2 linked regions of the Canis lupus familiaris genome follow. The protein of the gene in region 2 interacts with the protein of the main gene of each other region in a pairwise test. Links are inferred from orthologs where the notes say so. Each region holds a gene or a part of one and is shown on either strand. Other genes may lie near its edges.

Region 1 (4,985 bases), about 30 Mb from region 2:
CCACCTTCAGGTCCGAGCAGCTGGGTCTGTGACTGACGGAAGCGAAGTGACCAAGGCCCAGCAGGCAGCTCCTAGGGGAGCAGCCCCAACTATCTTCTCCCGGATCCTGGATCGAAGCCTCCCAGCTGACATTCTCTATGAGGACCAGCAGGTGGGGTGCCCTGAGGCCCTGTCCCCTTAGGAATGTCTCAACTGCCATCAGCCTGTTGAAGTAACATAGTGGCCTCTGGCCTGTCACTGCTTCCAGTGTCTCGTATTCCGTGATGTGGCCCCTCAGGCTCCTGTGCACTTCCTGGTCATTCCTAAGAAGCCCATTCCTCGGATTAGCCAGGCTGAAGAAGAAGACCAGCAGGTGGGAAGAGCAGGGCCAAGGTTTGGCTTGTGGGGGTGGGGAGCCCTGGACACAGAGGTTTTGCTCCCTGTGAAGGAAGCCACCTGTCTACCTCCCCTTTCCCTGTAGCTTCTAGGACACCTTCTCCTTGTGGCCAAAAAGACAGCAAAGGCTGAAGGCCTAGGAGATGGATACCGACTTGGTGAGTGACTTTTGGCCTTGAGCTATAAATTCTCATACCTGTCCCTCAATGTAATCTTTAATCTTTGACCTTTTCCATGATCCTGACCCTCTAACCTGAAGCTCTTATTTCAGTGATCAACGATGGAAAGATGGGCGCACAGTCTGTGTATCATCTGCATATTCACGTACTTGGGGGCCGACAGCTCCAGTGGCCTCCAGGTTGAACCGACCAACTGACCTCGATCCCCAGAACTTGATGCTTGGAATGTGGGGGGAAAGGGACCCTATGATGCTAATAAACTTGCTCTCCCTTGATTTTGGATCACTGTCTTAAATATATAATAATTATATATAATATGCATGTTATAGATAATTAAATATATAAAGATTTATACCACAAATAGGAAAGAAAACTGATTAAAGATCATGATCTGAGGGCACCTGGGTGGCTCAGTTGGTTAAGTGTCTGGCTTCAGCTCAGATCCTGGGATCAAGCCTCAGCAGGGACCCTGTTTCTCCCCCTCCCTCTGCCTGCCACTCTGCCTACCTGTATGCCCACAGGCTCTCTTTCTGTCAAATAAATCTTTTTTAAAAAATTAAAAAGTTAATGACCCCTCTTGACTATGGTCTGAATGAGAGACATTAATGAGGCCCATCCTATAGTTAAAGAAGCATTTGCCTATAGATCTGTGAGTCTTCATGACTAATGGTCTACCTGGGTCAAGCTAGAAAAGTAACACAAGCAATAAGCCTGTGTGAGTTGAAAGAGACTGAAACCTAGGAGTGAGGCTTGCTCAATCCTGACTCTCATTTAGATGCCAAGCCAAGTTCTAAGGAGGGCCTGGGAGGAGGATGGTTAATGTGTAGGCCCTTTACTGAAGGAGAAGTAATCACACCAAAAAACTGCTACCCTTTGACTGATCCCTGTGTCTCACCATTTTGTTTTTGAGTTGTTTGATGTGTTTTCAGTCTTAAACATTTTAAAAAGAATCCTTCAACTTTTGAGAATGAACTAAGAGGAGGTTACTGTTGCCCCTACACCAGCACACCAAGTATGCTTTTGTCTGATATCACAGCCCTGGCCTTGTGTCCAACACTAAGAACCACCGTAGAAAGTCTCAAAAGAATCATGCTTCAATGTAGAGGTCCCAGGAGAGCGGAACTTTAACAGCTGGGCTGAGGCGGAACAGAGTCTGGACGGAAAGCAAACTTCCAGAAAGCGGCAGGTTGAAGACTTCCGCCCCGCAGAGAATTTGCCTCCACCCCCACCCAGCCCCTTACGCCCAACTCGCGTTCTGCGCAGGCTCCTGGAATTGTTTGTCGTCTCTATGGCAACACGGTGGCTAGTGCCGGGAGATGGAGGTCCTGGAGTCTACCCGGCGGCAATCGCGGTCTCGGTGAGAGCTGCAGCTTTGGCTGCAGGTATAAGGGGGCAAGGAAGGTCAGGGGACTTACCGTGCTGCGCTTTTGACAACTGTGATGCATTCGCTTTCTTTTAGATCTTTAGCCGTACAGCCTGGCGCTGAAGGGCTCGGGTCCACTTCAGAACTGTTGCCTTCAGATGGCAATCCTAGGTCGGCCCTGGCAGCCACAACTGCTGCAGCTACCGCCGCAACCACCGCCAAAACTGCTGCGTTCTCCACGAAGACCCCACAGTGCCGCTCTGAGCCGAGCGTTCTCCGTCCTCCTGGGGAGCCCTGCACTGGAGCCAGCTTTACTCACAAGATAGGCTGGAGGAGACTTGGCTTTGAGCCTGTCTGTGTTTCCCGTTTCAGCCAGGATCCCTGTACTACAAATGACCTTAGCTCTAGTCCCGTCCCTGTTCCTGGCTCCAGTGCTGGTCCTAGCCATGGCTCTGGCCCTGGCTGTGACTCTGGTCAAGGCACTGGTCCTGATTCTGGCCCTGGTTCTGCCACTGACACTGGGCCTAGTCCAGACTGTGGCCATGACCCTGAGCTCAGCCCCTACAGTCTCCCAAGCTTCAGAAACCCTGGGGAAGAGCTGGTCCCTGACTATACCTCCTGGAATCACTACAGCCACCACTGGGAACCTCAGAAACAACCCTGGAAATTTTTGCAAGTTTCAGGACCTGGTGCCCAAGGGCAACAGAAGACCCCCCAGGTTGAAGGGAAGTGTAAGGTTCTCAATGAAACATTGCCACGGGGCCACTGCCTTCTCTACAACTGGGAGGAGGAGGTATTAAGGTTTTGACCTGCTCCCTTTTCCCAAAGACTACCCCCAGTTTCCTGGGGGAGGCAGTAGTTTATGATGAGGGTGGGTACCATAAAGGATATCATGGTCACTCAACTTGGGGCCCACAGAGAGCCACCAACCACCTGGATCAAGTCCCAAGCATGCAAGATGGCTCTGAGAGTTTCTTCTTTCGACATGGACACCAGGGACTGCTGACCATGCAGCTACCGTCACCCATGTCCTTCAGCACCACCCAGAAAGACTCCTACCAGCCCCCACGAAACTACTATCCGCCAATTCGAGGTGTGAAGCATGAGAGAGTGGGCCAGCATGAGCCCATTAGAGAAAAAAAGAGAGGAAGGAATTCCCAGTAGTACTATGGCCAGTCCAATGGGTAGAAGGGTAAAACCCCATGATTTTCCTTCCTTTTCTCACATTTGTTTCCTCTGGGACTGCTGCTTAACCAGATTCCCCCATTCTCTATTCCCTGCCCTCCCACAGGAAAGCGTGAAGCCATGCTAGAGATGCTCCTGCACCATCAGATCTGGTGAGAGGCTGGGTGAAGGGTAAAGGGGAGGGGGAAGACAAAAATCAGGGAAGAATGGCTCTGATGCCCTCCAGGACTGTATAGTAAAGAGGTGCAGGCAGAGCAGGAACCCACAGGGAAGCACCCTGAGGTCGAGTCTGTGACACACCACGACTACCGAAAGGAGCTGGTACAAGCCAGGCCTCCTGCCCCAACCAAGGTGAGAACTTATTCCATACCACTTATACAGCTGGGCTCTAGTGGGCTGTGGGAAAGCAGCAGAGGATATGAAAGGGAGCACAAACCATGAGTTTTTCGGGTTCTCCTTTTACAGCCTCATGACTACCGATGGGAACAGCCTGAAACCTTCTGGATACAGAGGGCACCACAGCTACCGGTGTGTGAGGGTGTTGGGAGTGGGGGAGAAGAAGGAGGGGAAGAGGCTGCTGTGTTCTGGCTTGGCACAGAGCAGGATCTGTCCTCATCCTGGCCCTCCTCCAGGGTGTCAGCAACATCAAGACCCTGGACACGCCATTCCAGAAGAACTGCAGCTTCTCGACACCAGTACCTTTATCGCTGGGGCAGCCTTTGCCCTATGAACCTGAGAATTATTCCCACCAACTGGGAGAAATATCTTCCCGTGCCTGTCAGGGAGGAGGACAACGTGGTGAAATGGGTAGAACTACTATCTAAGGCTTGAGGAGGGAAGAGGGATGTGGAATATAGAGTCTATCTCCGTCTGTACTGGAGAGGTGGGAAAGAAGTAAATTCTGTCTGTACTTGGTAAAGGGGCTTTCCATAAAGGGTCCTCACTCATCCTGAGACTGCCAATTCAGTGATTCCATATGTTACCATGTTCACACTCCAAAATCTTTCCTTGGACTTGCCCCTAACCCAGACTCTGACACCATGACATTTTCTGTTGTTTTATATTTGGCCAAAATATTCTGGTTTAGATACAGATATTTACAGAAGGTAGGGAAGAAGGGAATCAGGCCAGAGTGAGGCAGGTATATGTACAAGGCTGAGCTGCAAAGGGCAACAACTTCCATATAAGGTAGGGTTTTTGTGCATGTTCATTTCCATCCTACACAACAATGTCCATTTCTGGTGTGTGGAGAGACGGTGACCACTGCCCACCCAGGTACCAGCAGCAGGAGACTGTGTGACTTGGGAAGAAGTAGGGTTTACAGGAGTCCAGCAGGTCCTTTCCGCTCTCCTAGGAGCCAGTAAGTTCGCATCTTTCCTTTTCCCTGGAAGTGGGGGAGTGAAGATAATTCAGATTCTTCTATGTTACCCCCTTTATCTCCCTCTTTTCCCCATTGTCCCCATAATTGCTTTCATCCTCCCTTCCCATGACCCCTCCCCATGGCCCGCCATCACCTTCATCTCCACATCCCCCCGAAGCTCTAGCTGGAAGCATCCTAGTTCATCCAGGGCATCCTTGGTGGTGGAGGAGACATGGATCTTCAGGGCTGGGGTGGGATGGGGGCGAGGATGGTGGGAAGATGAATCAAAGAAAAGACAACAGAAGAATTGGTGGTATCGGAGAGAGCTTTACCCAACCACCACCCATCAGAAGGTTCTCAGTCTTTCCAGGACATGCACTAGAACTAAAATATGTCCAAGGATGGGGCAGTCAGGAGCTGTAGTCTCTGAGCCTGAGAGATTTGGAGAAGCTCTGAAAAGAAGAAAAGGACAACACATACAGGCTGAGGCTAGGGTTGAGGGCTAATGTTTTACCTTGACCAT
Region 2 (4,862 bases):
GGGCCCTGCAGGGCAGGGGAAATTCCCATGGGGCCACAGATCTTGGGGTGAGGCTGCAGTAGAGCCTGAGGGTCACTAGGATAGGCCAGGCGACAGCCGCCGAAGGCTCTAACCACCAAAGGGCACAGCAGGAGCCGCCGGAACACCCGGAACACCCGGGCCTAAAGCTGAATCCTCCTCTCCGGTGGAGAGTGGTGGGACGGAGACAAAGTCTGAGCGCCGGTCTAAAGCTTTTGGAGGGCTGCGGCAGAGCCGGCCAGGAGCGGTCCGCACGGGTCCCCTTGGGCGCGCACGCTGGGCTCACCCTCACGCGCGGCTCCGTGAGGTTGGTCCACACAGCGATCTCCTCCCGCATGCTCATGTCGGGGTAGCGGTTCCTCTGGAACGTGGCCTCCAGCTCTTGCAACTGCTGGCTTGTGAAGTGCGTGCGTTGCCGCCGTTGCTTCTTTTTCTTGGCGGGGTCCTCCGCGCCACCGCAGCCTGCGCCTCCCGCACCGCTGTCCTCCGGCCCCTTGACTTCCCCGCCGCGCTCCTTCTCTGAATCGGGCAGGACAGGCCCTAGTCACCTTGGGTTTATGCCCTTTCGCACCCCGTCCCGGCTCCACCGAAGCGCCAGCCATCAGCGCTGGCGGCCCTTCCTCCCGCCAGGAACCCTAGTTTTGTTCCCGCTGGAAAGAGCCTGTCGGGTGCCTGATCCTCACTAGTCACCTTTGGTCGGACGGCCCCGAAGAGCCAGGGAACCCGAGGCTCCGGCCTAGGTTCCCCACTGGGCAGGGCCTGCCCTTGCAGCTCGGCTCAGGCTCAAGCCCTACTGCCTATGTCGCCCGCAAATGTATGAAATTTTGAGGGCTTTTAGGCATTTAAATCTGGGGGTGTCTCTGCTCTTCTGAACTGATATCAAATCTGGCTAGCCTGAAGCCAGTGGGTCGGTGGAGCAGGAGCCAGGCGGTAACCTGCAGCCCCTCTACTTTCTTCTCCCCAGGGCTGTGTGGGAGCCACATTGGGCAGGCACAACACAGCTGTGTTCTCAGCCTTAGCTCCAGGCCTCAAGTCCAGAGGCCCAGAAAAGCCCTCAGGCGGCAGCCCAGACCCACACACTCTGTCTAGGTGACCTGGGGCTCTAGCCTCTCGCTCTCTCAGGGTACACAAAACACATTCAGTCATAGACACATTGAAACAAACAAACAAAAAAATTAAAAACAAAATACAGAAGCCCAGATAAACTCAATTCTATCCCAACACCATGGAAAGGCTCACAAACTATTAAAAATAGGCAGGTAGGAACACAGAGCAAATGCAAATTAAGAAGCAAGAAACCTCCGTGCAAACAGACCCCTAACTAAATACAGTGCTGTACGCGTATAAACTCCAGGCAGACGCGGGCATTTATTTCTCCGGGATAAAAAAAAAAACAACTTAATGTACTGTTGTAGATAGATTTTTTTTTAGCCCCTTCCTAATAATGCCCTTCTAGGGATAGTCTTTAAGTCGCAGGGAAATACAACACTATAGTTAGATAAATTACCAAACTAACACTGCTGCAAATGGATTTTGAAAAAAAAAATCCCGGAGAAACGCGCCATTTTGGATTGACTTTTAAAAATCTCCAAGAATAATGCTGCATGTGGATGTTTTAAATTCCAGAGAAATATGCCTCGCGTAGTGATTCTTTCTATATCGAAAAACACAGTTAAAAAATTTAATATATCCTCACGGAGTTGGTTTTAAAAAGCAATCGCTCGCTGTATATTTCTCCAGATTTTAAAAAGTAAAAACCAACCAAAGGCCACGCTTCAAACTTTTGAAAACAAAAGTACAGTCCAGCGTGGATTGCTTTTCTTAGCCAAGCAAACAGAACCTCTCAGAGAAAGTCACTTAGAGATGCAAAACAGAAACAAATAGAGATTAAAAACGCGTAGAGAAACACTCAGCGGTGGATTAAGAAAAAAGCACAGCGGAGGCGCCCACGACCCGGGGAACAGGGCGCCCGGCGGGACGGGGAGCGCGGGATCCGAGCGGGAGACCCGGGGGCGCGAGCGGCCGAGGATCCGCCGCGCCACCGCCCGCACCGCCCACCCGCCGGCCCCGCTCGCGGCCAGCTTGCGGGGGAGCAGCCTGAGTTCGGGGGGCAAAACGGCGGCGCGGAGGGAGACGCGCCCCAGCCGAGCCGGGCCCTGGCCGGGCGGCCTGGCGGCTCCCGGGTCCCTCCACGAGGGGGGCCTGCCCGCCAGCTGAGCCGCACCTCTTGGCCCGCTCGCCCTCGCTGCCCTCTTTTTTTTTACTTGAGGTGGTCCCCCCTTCCCCGCAGTCTGTTTCTCTGACTTTTCCCGCCACCCCTTCTCTTGGATTTCTCCCTCTCCATCCGTGCCCACCGCCTGTCGGGGTGTGTGACCCCGTCTCCCTGCGCAGCGTCTCTCGCCCGCCGCCCCGTTCCTCTCTCCACCTACTGTCCTGCGGTCTGAGCGGCCCCCTGGGCACTCGTTGCGCAAACCGAATTCTTTTTCTTCCGGCTCCGTCTGCTCCCGATCAAGAGGGGCTGTCGGGCCGACCCTCCCGTGGTCGGTGCCTGCATCTGCCGGGGTCTGGGCGCGTGGGCACCGGCTGGGAGCAGAGCACGGAATTCCGTCTCATCAAGCGCGCAGATTTCCGCGCTCCCGGTCCGACGGAGGCCGGGAGAAGAGGTCCCGGAGCTCGCGGGGCTCGGGCAACCTGAGCGTGCGGCGCGGGCGCCAGGCCCCGCTCCCCGCCCCGCGCCGGGCCGAGCCGCGCTTACCTGGCAGCTCCGTGTCGGACGACTCGCTGGCGGAGTTCTCGAGCGGCTCGCGGGGGTCGGCGGCGCGGGCCAGGTGGAAGGCCGGCCCCATGTCGTGCGGCGGCGGCGGCGGCCGGAGCCCCTCCGGCAGCCGCTCCAGGCTCATGCCCCCCTTGAAGGCGTCCATGGAGGCGGGGACCGCGGCGGGCGCTCCCGGGGCCGGGGCCGGGGCCGGGGCCGGGGCCGGGGCCGGGGCCGGGCGCGCCCGGCCGCCCTGGCTGCGACCTGCGGGGACAAGAGCACAGCGCCTAAGCGGCTGCCCCCCAGGGCTGCCCGGGCCCGCAGCGACGCCGCGCCCGCCCCATGGACCGCCCGGGGCTGCGGGGCCGGGCGGGCGGCGGCGGCAGCGGTTTCTCGCGACCGGATCCCCGGCTTCGCGCTCCGCGCTGCGCTCCCGCCGCTCGGGCCTCTGCCGCCCGCCCGGCCCCGGCTCCGGCTCCCGATCCGGGGCCGGTTTCTAAGGCTCCGTACGGCGCCGGCAGAGGCTGTCTTAAAGCGACAGCGCGCACCGCCAGGTTCCAGCAGTCCCTGCGCCAGGGGTGGTGGGTGGGGTGGGCCCGGGTGGGAGGGGGCTGGGGAGGGGGGAGGGAGGGAGGGAAGGAGGGAGGGAGGGAGGGAGGGAGCCGGCGAGCGAGGGAGCGCGGGCGGAATCCGGCCCCGAGCCGCCCGCCCTCCCCCGGCCGTGCCCTCCCCCTCCCCCTCCCGTCCCCTCCCGTCCCCCTCCCCCGCCGCAGCCACCTTCCCGCCGCCTCCCGCCCCCTCCCCCCACCCCCCGCGGCCTCGCCGCGCCGCGCCGCTCCCTCCTTCCCCGTTGACACACCGACTTCTCCCTCGGCCGCACAAAAGAAACGCATCTGGTCTCCAAGTCCCGCGCGGCTCGTGCCCACCTCCAGCCCCAGATGACTTGTTTTGCGCAGAATCAACTCCTGTCTGGGCCGCCTCGAAGTCCTCAGCCCCCGGCGAGAACAGCCCAGGACGAGAGAATGTTCCCGGGGCAGGATCGCACGGAGCGGGCGCCTCCGAGCCAGCGCCAGGGCGGGGGCAGAGCCCGGGGCCCGTTCCGGCAGCTCCCGGCGGCGTCCCCGTCGGGGGGCCGCTGGCCCCTCCTTCCTCGGCCTCTTCTCCCGGGACCTGAGCCCGGCTGAGTGACAGCAGCCTGCGTTCTAATGGGCCCCCGGATGCTGCCTCCTAATTAGCTTGGACCCTGTCGTCCAAGGCTGCTTCTCTGGCCTCCCCCTCTGCACCGCAGTCAATTTTCCGGGATTGGGATTGAACTGATGGCTTCTAATCAGACGAAACGTTTCTGTTGGCTCCAGGCCTCTGGCGAGTGCAGCAGGAGACCCCGAGAGCCCCGCCAGGCCCCACAGCCTCTTCTGCAGGGCTCTCTTCCCTTGTTTTGCACCAGTCCAGCCGAATCAGCCAGGCCCCGGCCTTGGCAGCCAGGGGGTTGGCTTCTGCCCCCTTCAGGGCAGGTTTGTAGCGATCTGGGGCCTCCTCTGGGCTTTCCAGAGCTGCAGGCACCTGGCCTCGCGAGCAGGCCAGGTGCCTGCAGTTTCCCAGCCCGGAGTCCGCAGTCCAGGAAGCCTACCGCCTTTGAGCTTCTCTCTCTCACACAGCAGTAGCTGAGCGGCAGCACCGCCGAGGCCTCCTGGGGGCAGACACCGCCCGGCCCCTCCCCACCTCTGAGAATGATCCCCTTCTGGAATCCTCCTATGACAGTGAAGTTTGTTGAAGGATTTTGCCGAACAATTGTTAACCAGCCCCGAGACCTCAGAGTCTTGAATAAATAGACGGCAGCTAGGGTGGTAGGGTGCGACCCTGACCCGTGCCTCTGGCCACAGCTAGACCCCAGGCTGCCCTCCGCCCCTCGATTGCTGACCAACTCCCCCAGATAGGAGTAGCGCTGGGCAGGACAGTAACCCGGAGGAGAAGCACTGCTCTACTCTCCAGGTGCAGCGCCTCACCACAGGGCCCAGTGCATCCTCATCTCTTCCTGGGGCGGAGGGAGTGTCTCTGCTTGGGGGTGAGGATCTGGGGTGTTCTTCAGGTA

What was found. The genes of interacting proteins can lie anywhere in the genome.
Region 1: the proteins of PITX1 (region 2) and SPAG8 interact in binary tests that used the Homo sapiens proteins (3 or more experiments, as listed by UniProt). The link is inferred for Canis lupus familiaris from reciprocal best matches to the Homo sapiens genes PITX1 and SPAG8.

Annotation. Positions count from the first base shown.
Region 1 is NC_049232.1:52,633,615-52,638,599, reverse strand, and holds SPAG8 (sperm-associated antigen 8), read left to right. Parts: upstream 1-1,750; 5' UTR 1,751-1,870; coding exon 1,871-1,911; intron 1,912-2,013; coding exon 2,014-2,710; intron 2,711-2,835; coding exon 2,836-3,010; intron 3,011-3,208; coding exon 3,209-3,254; intron 3,255-3,338; coding exon 3,339-3,453; intron 3,454-3,567; coding exon 3,568-3,630; intron 3,631-3,734; coding exon 3,735-3,926; 3' UTR 3,927-4,055; downstream 4,056-4,985. Other genes in the region: HINT2 (histidine triad nucleotide-binding protein 2, mitochondrial), read left to right, coding at 11-151, 248-352, 461-533, 647-738; NPR2 (atrial natriuretic peptide receptor 2), read right to left, coding at 4,421-4,486, 4,617-4,708, 4,977-4,985. UniProt on the Homo sapiens protein: Microtubule inner protein (MIP) part of the dynein-decorated doublet microtubules (DMTs) in cilia axoneme, which is required for motile cilia beating.
Region 2 is NC_049232.1:23,086,563-23,091,424, forward strand, and holds the start of PITX1 (pituitary homeobox 1), read right to left. Parts: upstream 3,032-4,862; 5' UTR 2,940-3,031; coding exon 2,774-2,939; intron 538-2,773; coding exon 305-537; intron 1-304. UniProt on the Homo sapiens protein: Sequence-specific transcription factor that binds gene promoters and activates their transcription. May play a role in the development of anterior structures, and in particular, the brain and facies and in specifying the identity or structure of hindlimb.